Linked DNA regions of Tribolium castaneum. The protein of the gene in region 2 binds, or shares a complex with, the protein of the main gene of each other region. Links are inferred from orthologs where the notes say so. Each region holds a gene or a part of one and is shown on either strand. Other genes may lie near its edges. The genes, in order: U6 snRNA-associated Sm-like protein LSm6, Prp6 and peptidyl-prolyl cis-trans isomerase H.

Region 1 (2,345 bases), on a different chromosome or scaffold from region 2:
CCACAGCGAACGCAACTTGTCTCAGATCAGTCGGTTTGTTTCAAGTGGTTCAGGAAAAAATGAATTATTCCAGCGCCGCACGTCGGTGCCAGGATTTGGGGGGCGACCTGGCTGATATTTTGACTGAGGCAAGGACGAACGCACTAGCTGCGTTACTCAAGTCTTTGCCTAACTGGTACAAGGGGGCATACGTTGGCCTTGACGACATTACGGTTGAGGGGAGTTTTGAGACTCCAATGGGGGACTTTTTGCAATGTTCGCGGTTTCGGGCCTGGGCTGTGGGCCACCCAAGACCAGGACGAAGAAAAGAAGACTGTGTCATGTTAGATGTTGAAAAAACGTGGAGGGCACTCAATTGTAAAATTAAATTGGACTTCATCTGTGAATTTTATCCAACTCCTCCGGACAACACATTGAATGAATTTAAATATCAGAACTGTAGTCTCGTTAAAAGTAAGAAAAAGAAACAAGAGTGTGAGACAAATAACGAGTTATTTGAGCTATACAACAGCTCTACGAGAATCGATCAGTGCGCTTTAATGAACGACTTTGAGTTTTGAAACGTTTTTATTACAAAAAATACATTAGATTCTACGTTTTTGTGTACTTATGTAGAGCACATTGTTGCCCCTAATAAACGCATCCCCGAATTTATTTTTGAGTTGTCCGTTGACGTATTCCTCGGTTTGCTCCAACGCTATGTTCATGTAGCCATCGAGACAAGCCAAAACACCTAAAAACCAAATAATAGCCCCCTTCATTGACAAAAAACAAACATAACCTCACCTCTGTAATCTACACCACTATTCAACTTGACCACAACAGGCCTGGCGTGAATTTGTTGAATAAAAGACGAAAGGGCTTCTTTGCGACTCATCCTTATCAGCTTGTGGCTCAAATTTGCTTATTTAACCGCCTCGGCTGACAAAAACCTAACCTCAAATCGGCATGTACATAACCCCACTTCCTGTTTTTTTCACGCAAAACCATGTCGAAACCGCTAACATTCGTCACCGGCAACGCCAAAAAGCTCGAAGAGGTGGTTGCCATCCTCGGCTCGACATTCCCACGCAAAGTGGTGAGTCAAAAAGTGGACCTCCCTGAGCTCCAGGGCGAAATCGCCGATATTTGCGTGAAAAAATGCCAAGCGGCGTACGAAATCATCAAGGGGCCGTGTATCGTCGAAGACACGTGTCTGTGTTTCAACGCATTGGGTGGTTTGCCCGGTCCTTATATTAAGTGGTTCTTGGATAAGTTGGGTCCTGAGGGGCTGTTTCGACTACTGGCTGGGCATGAGGATAAGAGTGCCCAGGCCGTTTGTACTTTTGCATATCATCCGGGCGATGAAGGGGGCAAAGTGATTCTGTTCGAGGGGCGCACGGATGGAGAGATTGTGATGCCGAGGGGGCCGAGGGATTTTGGATGGGATCCGTGTTTCCAGCCAGTGGGGTACACGCAGACGTACGCCGAGATGCCCAAAGAGGAGAAGAATAAAATCTCTCATCGGTACCGCGCCTTGGACGCGCTGAGGAATCATTTTATGAACCAAGAGAAACAATAATGTTTTGTCGTTTTAGTTTTATTTGACTTTAATCAACTTAAATAAATTGTTTTGTTTGATTTGAGTGCTTTTTTGTTACGCTTTTCTTATTTCTCCGGCAGGTTTATAACAAAACAGTCCGGGGGGTAGTACTTTTTAGTACTCAAATGCCATTATTGAAAGGATAGTAATAAAGCGATCAGTAAAAAATTCGATTTTAATCAGTAAAAAATAATAAATCATCAGTATTTAATTCATTTTTGCACAGTAAAAAATTTAAATGACAAGTAAACCACGCACAGTATTTTTTTAAAATTTGCCCAATAAAAAAATCGTATATGCACAGGATCTAGTTTCAGTTTGCACAGTTTAAATAATAAACGCTCAGTAGCTAGCTTGCAGTCTAGGGCTTCGCCCCAGCAAACTAAAAGGAAAAATACTCCTCGAACGATTAAACTCAAAAACGTAAAATTGGAAATGTGAAATTCTACACACTCTAGTTTTGAGATGCTATTATTTACTGTGCATTTATTATTTTTACTGTGCAATTATTATTTTTACAGTCCATTTATTATTTTTAGTGTGCATTTATTATTTTTACTGTGCAGTTATTATTTTTACTGTGCATTTATTATTTTTACTGTGCATTTATTATTTTACTGTGCATTTATTATTTTTAGTGTGCAATTATTATTTTTACTGTGCATTTATTATTTTTAGTGTGCAATTATTATTTTTACTGTGCATTTATTATTTTTACTGTGCATTTATTATTTTTACTGTGCATTTATTATTTTACTGTGCA
Region 2 (3,472 bases):
TCAAAAAATAAGTAAGTTTTTTACTCAAAAACAAGACGCCAAACTTATGTCATTACATAATCTTAACTCAGAAACAAAAAAATAAAATACAAAAAAGTTTATTTTTATTAATTTTTCGATTTTAAAATATTTTTCACATCAAAATATTCAAACAAGAATTTTTGTGGTGAATTTAAAAAAATAAAAAACTACAGAAACGGTCAATTTTTGTTTAAAAAATTGTCTTCAGTCTCATTTACATTTAACAAAAAAATAATAAACAAAATAATGAGGGGAAAAATCATAAAACCAAATAATAAATTAATTATTAAGTATTATCCTACTTAATTTTCACTCTTAAAACAAATACAAAATACATAAAAATAACAACATTTATGAACTAAATTTCACAAAATAAGTTAACTGTCGACGTAATTAAGTGATTTTTCGACTTAAGTGTATTTTAATTTTCGCTTTTAAGCGTGTTTGATTTTGACAACTTAGATTTTTATGGTCCAAAAAATATTAGAGCCATTATAGATGCAAAAAAAGCTTAAAACTTGCTTATAGTCAAGAATCATAAAACAAATAAAAACTTTCCTCAAAGCTTGTCATAAATAAAACTGCACATGTCTGAGTATAAAGTTGAAACTCCTACTAAATCTTGAAGAAATCTAATGAAACAAATGTCTTACAAAACCGCACTTAATAAAATATGTGCAATGATTGAATTTTCGATAAAATAGACGCAATAGTTAATGGGTAAGTACTTTAAAAATGCTATATTAATAACTACTAATAAATTCACTAATTTAAAAAAAATATGAACACTACAAAAATCTTAAATTTTTGTTTAAAAATTCTCATGACTGACTATTAATTTTATTTTTTTGTTAATTTCATTCAAATTAAAAAAAAAAACCACAGCAATTTCACTCTGTATAAAATAAGATGACCAAACCATAATAAACAAAATAATGACGATAAAAAAAGACAGGTAAAAAAGACTTTTATTTCTAGTAATAGGTCCCTAATATTATTATTATTGGTTACGTACTTTTAAAATGCTATTCTCGTGGTGAATAAAAAAATGTAAACACTACAAAAATCTTAAATTTTTGTATAAAAATTCTCTTGACTGACTATTAATTTTATTTTTAAGTTAATTTCACTCAAATTAAAAAAAAAAATCCACAGCAATTTCACTCTGTATAAAATAAGATGACCAAACCATAATAAACAAAATAATGACGATAAAAAAAGACAGGTAAAAAAAGACTTTTATTTCTAGTAATAGATCCCATAATATTATTATTATTGGTTACGTACTTTTAAAAATCTTAAATTTTTGTTTAAAAATTCTCTTGACTGACTATTAATTTTATTTTTAAGTTAATTTCATTCAAATTTAAAAAAAAATCCACAGCAATTTCACTCTGTATAAAATAAGATAACCAAACCATAATAAACAAAATAATGATGATAAAAAAAGACAGGTAAAAAAAGACTTTTATTTCTAGTAATAGATCCCATAATATTATTATTATTGGTTACGTACTTTTAAAAATCTTAAATTTTTGTTTAAAAATTCTCTTGACTGACTATTAATTTTATTTTTAAGTTAATTTCATTCAAATTCAAAAAAAAATCCACAGCAATTTCACTCTCTATAAAATAAGATGACCAAACCTTAATAAACAAAATAGTGACGATGAAAAAAGACAGGTAAAAAAAAACTTTTATTTCTAGTAATAGGTCCCATAATATTATTATTATTGGTTACGTACTTTTAAAATGATATTCTCGTGATGAATAAAAAAAATGTAAACACTACAAAAATTTTAAATTTAATTTTAATTAAACAATTGACAGAGTATTTTTATTTTTAAGCATAATAAACAAAATAATGGGAAGAAAAAAACATAATAAAAAATCAATAACAAAAGACTTGTATTTCTCATACCTTGATCCAGATCCGTACCGACGTTGGAATATGCCTGGCCGCCTGCGCAATCACCGCCTTGGCCGTATCCTGGGGATTAATCCTGGCCGCCTCCAGCCACAAATCCTCACTTTGTGGATTAACCTCACACCCTTTCATAATCAAATTCCTCGCCGCTTGCACCTTCCCCGTAACTTCCTCCAGCCTGGCACTAGCAATCCACGCCGGAGGATGATTCGGATTCGTCTCCCTCACCGATTTAAGCAACAATCTCGCCTTCTTAATATCATTAATATCCCCACCGTAGGTGGGAATCATTGATTGCAAATCGGTCAAATACCCTTTCGGGTCCACAACTGTTTGTCCAGTCACCGAATCGGACACTTGCGACAACTTAACATTCATGAGAGTGTTGCGGGCTTGTCCGATTTTTCGCAAGTCCATGTCTCCGGTCGGGGTGAGCATTCCGGGGGTGGCAACACCCGGAACCATGCTTGCTAGCCCCGAACTGGGGTCAATGGTGGTGTTGGATTCGCCCCCCAGGTTCCGGGCTAGGACGCTGTCGGGCAAAGGGATGAATTTTTCGGCTCGGGGATTGCGCTGTTTCCGGTTACGGGCGTCCCCCACGTCTGGGACGCTCCGCCATTCGTCGTCGGAGACGTTCTGCAGGTCGCGTTTCAAGTCGGAGAACTGTTGCTGGATTTTTGGCCTAACAAGAAAATTCTTTTAACCAAAGTGATAGAAAAAAACTTTAAAAAATATTTTATGTAACTTAGTTAATTTTTACTTTTTTAATTTCTTTTTTATTCATCTCTTTTTCAATGTAAACACGTCTGAAAATGATAGTTACCAACGAAACATGTTCCTTTTATAATTTTTAACATCTTTAATAGCTACAACTGTGTGGAAGTTCACAAAATTTTTTTCATCTTTTTGTTAAGTTATCAGCAATCCACTTAGAAAAAAATGAATCCAGCTTAACATAAAATTATTTTATATAATCCAAGGATGGTTTTAGGTTTAATTTTAAAACTGTCGTATCAGAACAGATTTTTTTTTATTTTGGGATGAATATCATAATTCACTGTTAATTTCAGTCCTATCAAAAAAAATTAATCAAAGAGTAGTTCTACAAGCGTCTAGCAGGAGCAAAATTTGCTATGCCCGAGGCCCATTGGAAAATATTTGCTTTGGGAGCAAAAATCTTTATGAATTCGTACAATTCATTGATACTGGCTAATAAAAAAAGTAAAAATTTCTACAAGAGTCCAGTCGATAGTTTCCGGTATGCCATAAAAAACATAGAATTGTTGACGTGTCTCTTCAAGTTTTTACAGTGTACAGTGTATGTGAGAAATGCCAAGAAAAAAATGTATAGAGAAATTTAATTATTAATTCAAATGTCAGACCGTTAGATACCTTTTTCATTCTGCTACATTTTGTAAAAATTCACAAAATCTGTTGATAAGTATTAAAAAAACTCCAAAAAAAAAATATTCTAAGAAGCAATAGATCATTTACGACCAATTTTAATCTCAAAATAGAACTTGT
Region 3 (2,659 bases), on a different chromosome or scaffold from region 2:
TTCCAGACGGTCAGTGTAGGCAACCTTGAAAGAAGTAAACAACGGACGGGCAGCGCCTCTCAACAAGTTTTGCAAAATTTTAAAAACCAAAATTTTTTTCCCGCACAAACCTTGCGAATTAACTGACTGAGTTGCCCCCCGTATCTAAGTGACTTGATAACTGCGTAACGAAAATTACGTTAAGTTATGATTTAATAAAACATGATAAGAACTGATAGTGATAAGGACGTCTAAGAAGACTGCAAAATCCAGCACAAAAATAAAATTAAATTCGTTGCTCTTGTTTTTATTTAACTTTAGTCACCGTTGGTGAAGTCCCTGATCGGGAATCCCCACAACCCAGAGATAAAAACCATAACAAGAAGATAAAGTCATAGACCCCACAGGTCACCGTATATAAATGCAGAAGTTTATCATCTCGAAGGTTACTCGTGTTGTTCCATTAAAGGACGTGCTAATTAAATAAATAATTTTAATTTTGCATACAAGGCAAAGTTGAATATGGGACGAAAGTTCGTGATTATTTTCTCAATTTTGCACCAAATTCTGGCTCGAACAGGTAAAACCACCGCTCAAACCCCATCCATTGCTAAATGAGGTGTTTCCAGAGTCAAACTTGCCGGCAGTGTGCCCCGAAATCGTGAGTCGCACTAGATGGGGGGCTCGCACTGCTTTGGAAGTGGATTACGCCCTAATCCCTGTCGAAAACGTGGTCGTGCACCACACGGTGACCAACACTTGCAGCACTGAGGAAGAATGTGCGGCGATTTTGCGAAACATTCAGAATTTTCACATGGAAAATCTAGATTTTCACGATATTGGATACAAGTAAATTTGATGATTTTTGTTTTTTTTTTTTTAATTATGGTTTAGTTTTTTAGTGGGTGGTGACGGCCAGATTTACGAGGGCGCAGGTTGGCACAAAGTGGGGGCGCACACACGTGGGTACAACTCCCGGTCTTTGGGGCTCGGTTTCATCGGCAATTACACGAGTAGGTTGTTTTTCGTGTTATTTTCGTACTTTACGAGCCTTTTATTACAGCTCAACTTCCAAATAAAAAGCAGATACAAGCCGCTAAAGATTTTCTCCAATGCGGGGTTGAGTTGGGAGAGTTGGGCAAAAGTTTCAAACTGTTTGGGGCCCGCCAAGTCAGCGCGACGGAAAGTCCGGGCCTAAAGCTGTACCGCGAACTACAGAACTGGCCGCACTTTACCAGGTCCCCGCCGAAATAAACTGTATTCTAGTTTTTAAAATAAAATTATTATAAAGCATACGATTTTGAATTTAAATATGGCGCCCATTAGTCGCAAGTTTGAGGTTATGTTGTTTTGATTATTCGAGGTTAGGGAACTAAAAACCGTAAAAATGCCGAATTGGGACCAAATTCAAGCCCAGTTGAAGCACCCAGCGAACCCGGTCGTGTTTTTCGACATTTCCGTCGGAACTACGGTACCAATAACCCAAAATTTCCGAAAACTGTATTTTTCGATTACAGGAAATCGGCCGAATGATTTTCGAGTTATTCGCAGACGCGGTCCCCAAAACCAGCGATAATTTCCGCCAGTTTTGCACCGGCGAGTTCCGCAAAGACGGCGTGCCGTTGGGCTACAAGGGGGCTAGTTTCCACCGAGTTATCAAGGACTTTATGATCCAAGGGGGCGACTTCGTCAATGTAAAAATCACGGGATGCGATTCCGCAACTAATTAATATTTTTAGGGCGATGGGACCGGCGTTATGAGTATATATGGGGGCGGAACGTTTCCCGACGAAAATTTTAACCTAAGACATGACGGTCCTGGACTTCTATCAATGGCAAACAGCGGCAAAGACACCAACGGTTGCCAGTTTTTCATAACTTGTGCAAAGTGTAATTTCCTGGACGGCAAACATGTGGTGTTTGGACGCGTTATTGACGGACTTCTCGTCATGCGGAAAATCGAAAACGTGCCCACGGGGCCCAACAATAAGCCCAAAATCCCGGTCACAATTGTACAATGTGGCCAAATGTAGTAGTGTAATTCAAATTTTAATAATAAAAGCACAAAATAAAACTTAGTTTAAATTTTTATTTTGTCAGGTTGGTGGTCCCATAACCTCACTTGTCAAAAACGTAAATAATCGTGAAATGGAAAATAAAAAAATATCGTTCGGTTTCAGCAAAATTAGTAAAAAGACCGAAATCAGGTCAAGTGTTCCGAAACCCGAAAATAAGATACAGCTAATTGACTGTTTAGAGGGTCAATCAATTAAAATAAAAGGGTATGTTTCGTTTTTGAGGTTATGTTATTTTTGCCAAAAACCTCATTTTAGTGCCGTTGAGGAGACAAATGAGCCGTTGGTGATACCAATCCAAGGCCCATCAAACAAATTAATAGACCAAATAAAAAAAGCGAGGGAAAAACACGTCAAACCTGAAGTTAAAGAAGAGACAGGGGAGGCAAATTCTGTGCCAGACTCTGCCCTATCTCTTGACGAATTAGCGGCAAGAGAGTTAATCCGAGGTACTTACCCTATGTTTCAAGTGATTTTCTAGTGTGAATAAAATTTTCAGAGGCACAGACTCGCAACACTGTACAAAGCGAGACAAAAGTCTACTCCTTGCCTTTAAATGACGACAAGTTTGTGGCAGAGGGGGCACAGGAGTCGTCTCTCGACGA

Evidence for each region.
Region 1: Prp6 (region 2) and U6 snRNA-associated Sm-like protein LSm6 share a complex: the UniProt entries of both Homo sapiens proteins name them as parts of the U4/U6-U5 tri-snRNP complex. The link is inferred for Tribolium castaneum from reciprocal best matches to the Homo sapiens genes PRPF6 and LSM6.
Region 3: Prp6 (region 2) and peptidyl-prolyl cis-trans isomerase H share a complex: the UniProt entries of both Homo sapiens proteins name them as parts of the U4/U6-U5 tri-snRNP complex. The link is inferred for Tribolium castaneum from reciprocal best matches to the Homo sapiens genes PRPF6 and PPIH.

The regions. Positions count from the first base shown.
Region 1 is NC_087398.1:10,391,119-10,393,463, reverse strand, and holds U6 snRNA-associated Sm-like protein LSm6, read right to left. Parts: upstream 926-2,345; 5' UTR 878-925; coding exon 787-877; intron 734-786; coding exon 585-733; 3' UTR 561-584; downstream 1-560. Other genes in the region: uncharacterized protein LOC100142353, read left to right, coding at 1-560; inosine triphosphate pyrophosphatase, read left to right, coding at 989-1,561. UniProt on the Homo sapiens protein: Plays a role in pre-mRNA splicing as component of the U4/U6-U5 tri-snRNP complex that is involved in spliceosome assembly, and as component of the precatalytic spliceosome (spliceosome B complex).
Region 2 is NC_087399.1:6,879,890-6,883,361, reverse strand, and holds part of Prp6 (pre-mRNA-processing factor 6), read right to left. Parts: intron 2,631-3,472; coding exon 1,943-2,630; intron 1-1,942. UniProt on the Homo sapiens protein: Involved in pre-mRNA splicing as component of the U4/U6-U5 tri-snRNP complex, one of the building blocks of the spliceosome.
Region 3 is NC_087395.1:17,966,486-17,969,144, reverse strand, and holds peptidyl-prolyl cis-trans isomerase H, read left to right. Parts: upstream 1-1,287; 5' UTR 1,288-1,366; coding exon 1,367-1,450; intron 1,451-1,496; coding exon 1,497-1,673; intron 1,674-1,718; coding exon 1,719-2,012; 3' UTR 2,013-2,057; downstream 2,058-2,659. Other genes in the region: peptidoglycan-recognition protein 2, read left to right, coding at 502-559, 609-828, 874-992, 1,043-1,233; G-patch domain and KOW motifs-containing protein, read left to right, coding at 2,128-2,261, 2,313-2,503, 2,554-2,659. UniProt on the Homo sapiens protein: PPIase that catalyzes the cis-trans isomerization of proline imidic peptide bonds in oligopeptides and may therefore assist protein folding. Participates in pre-mRNA splicing.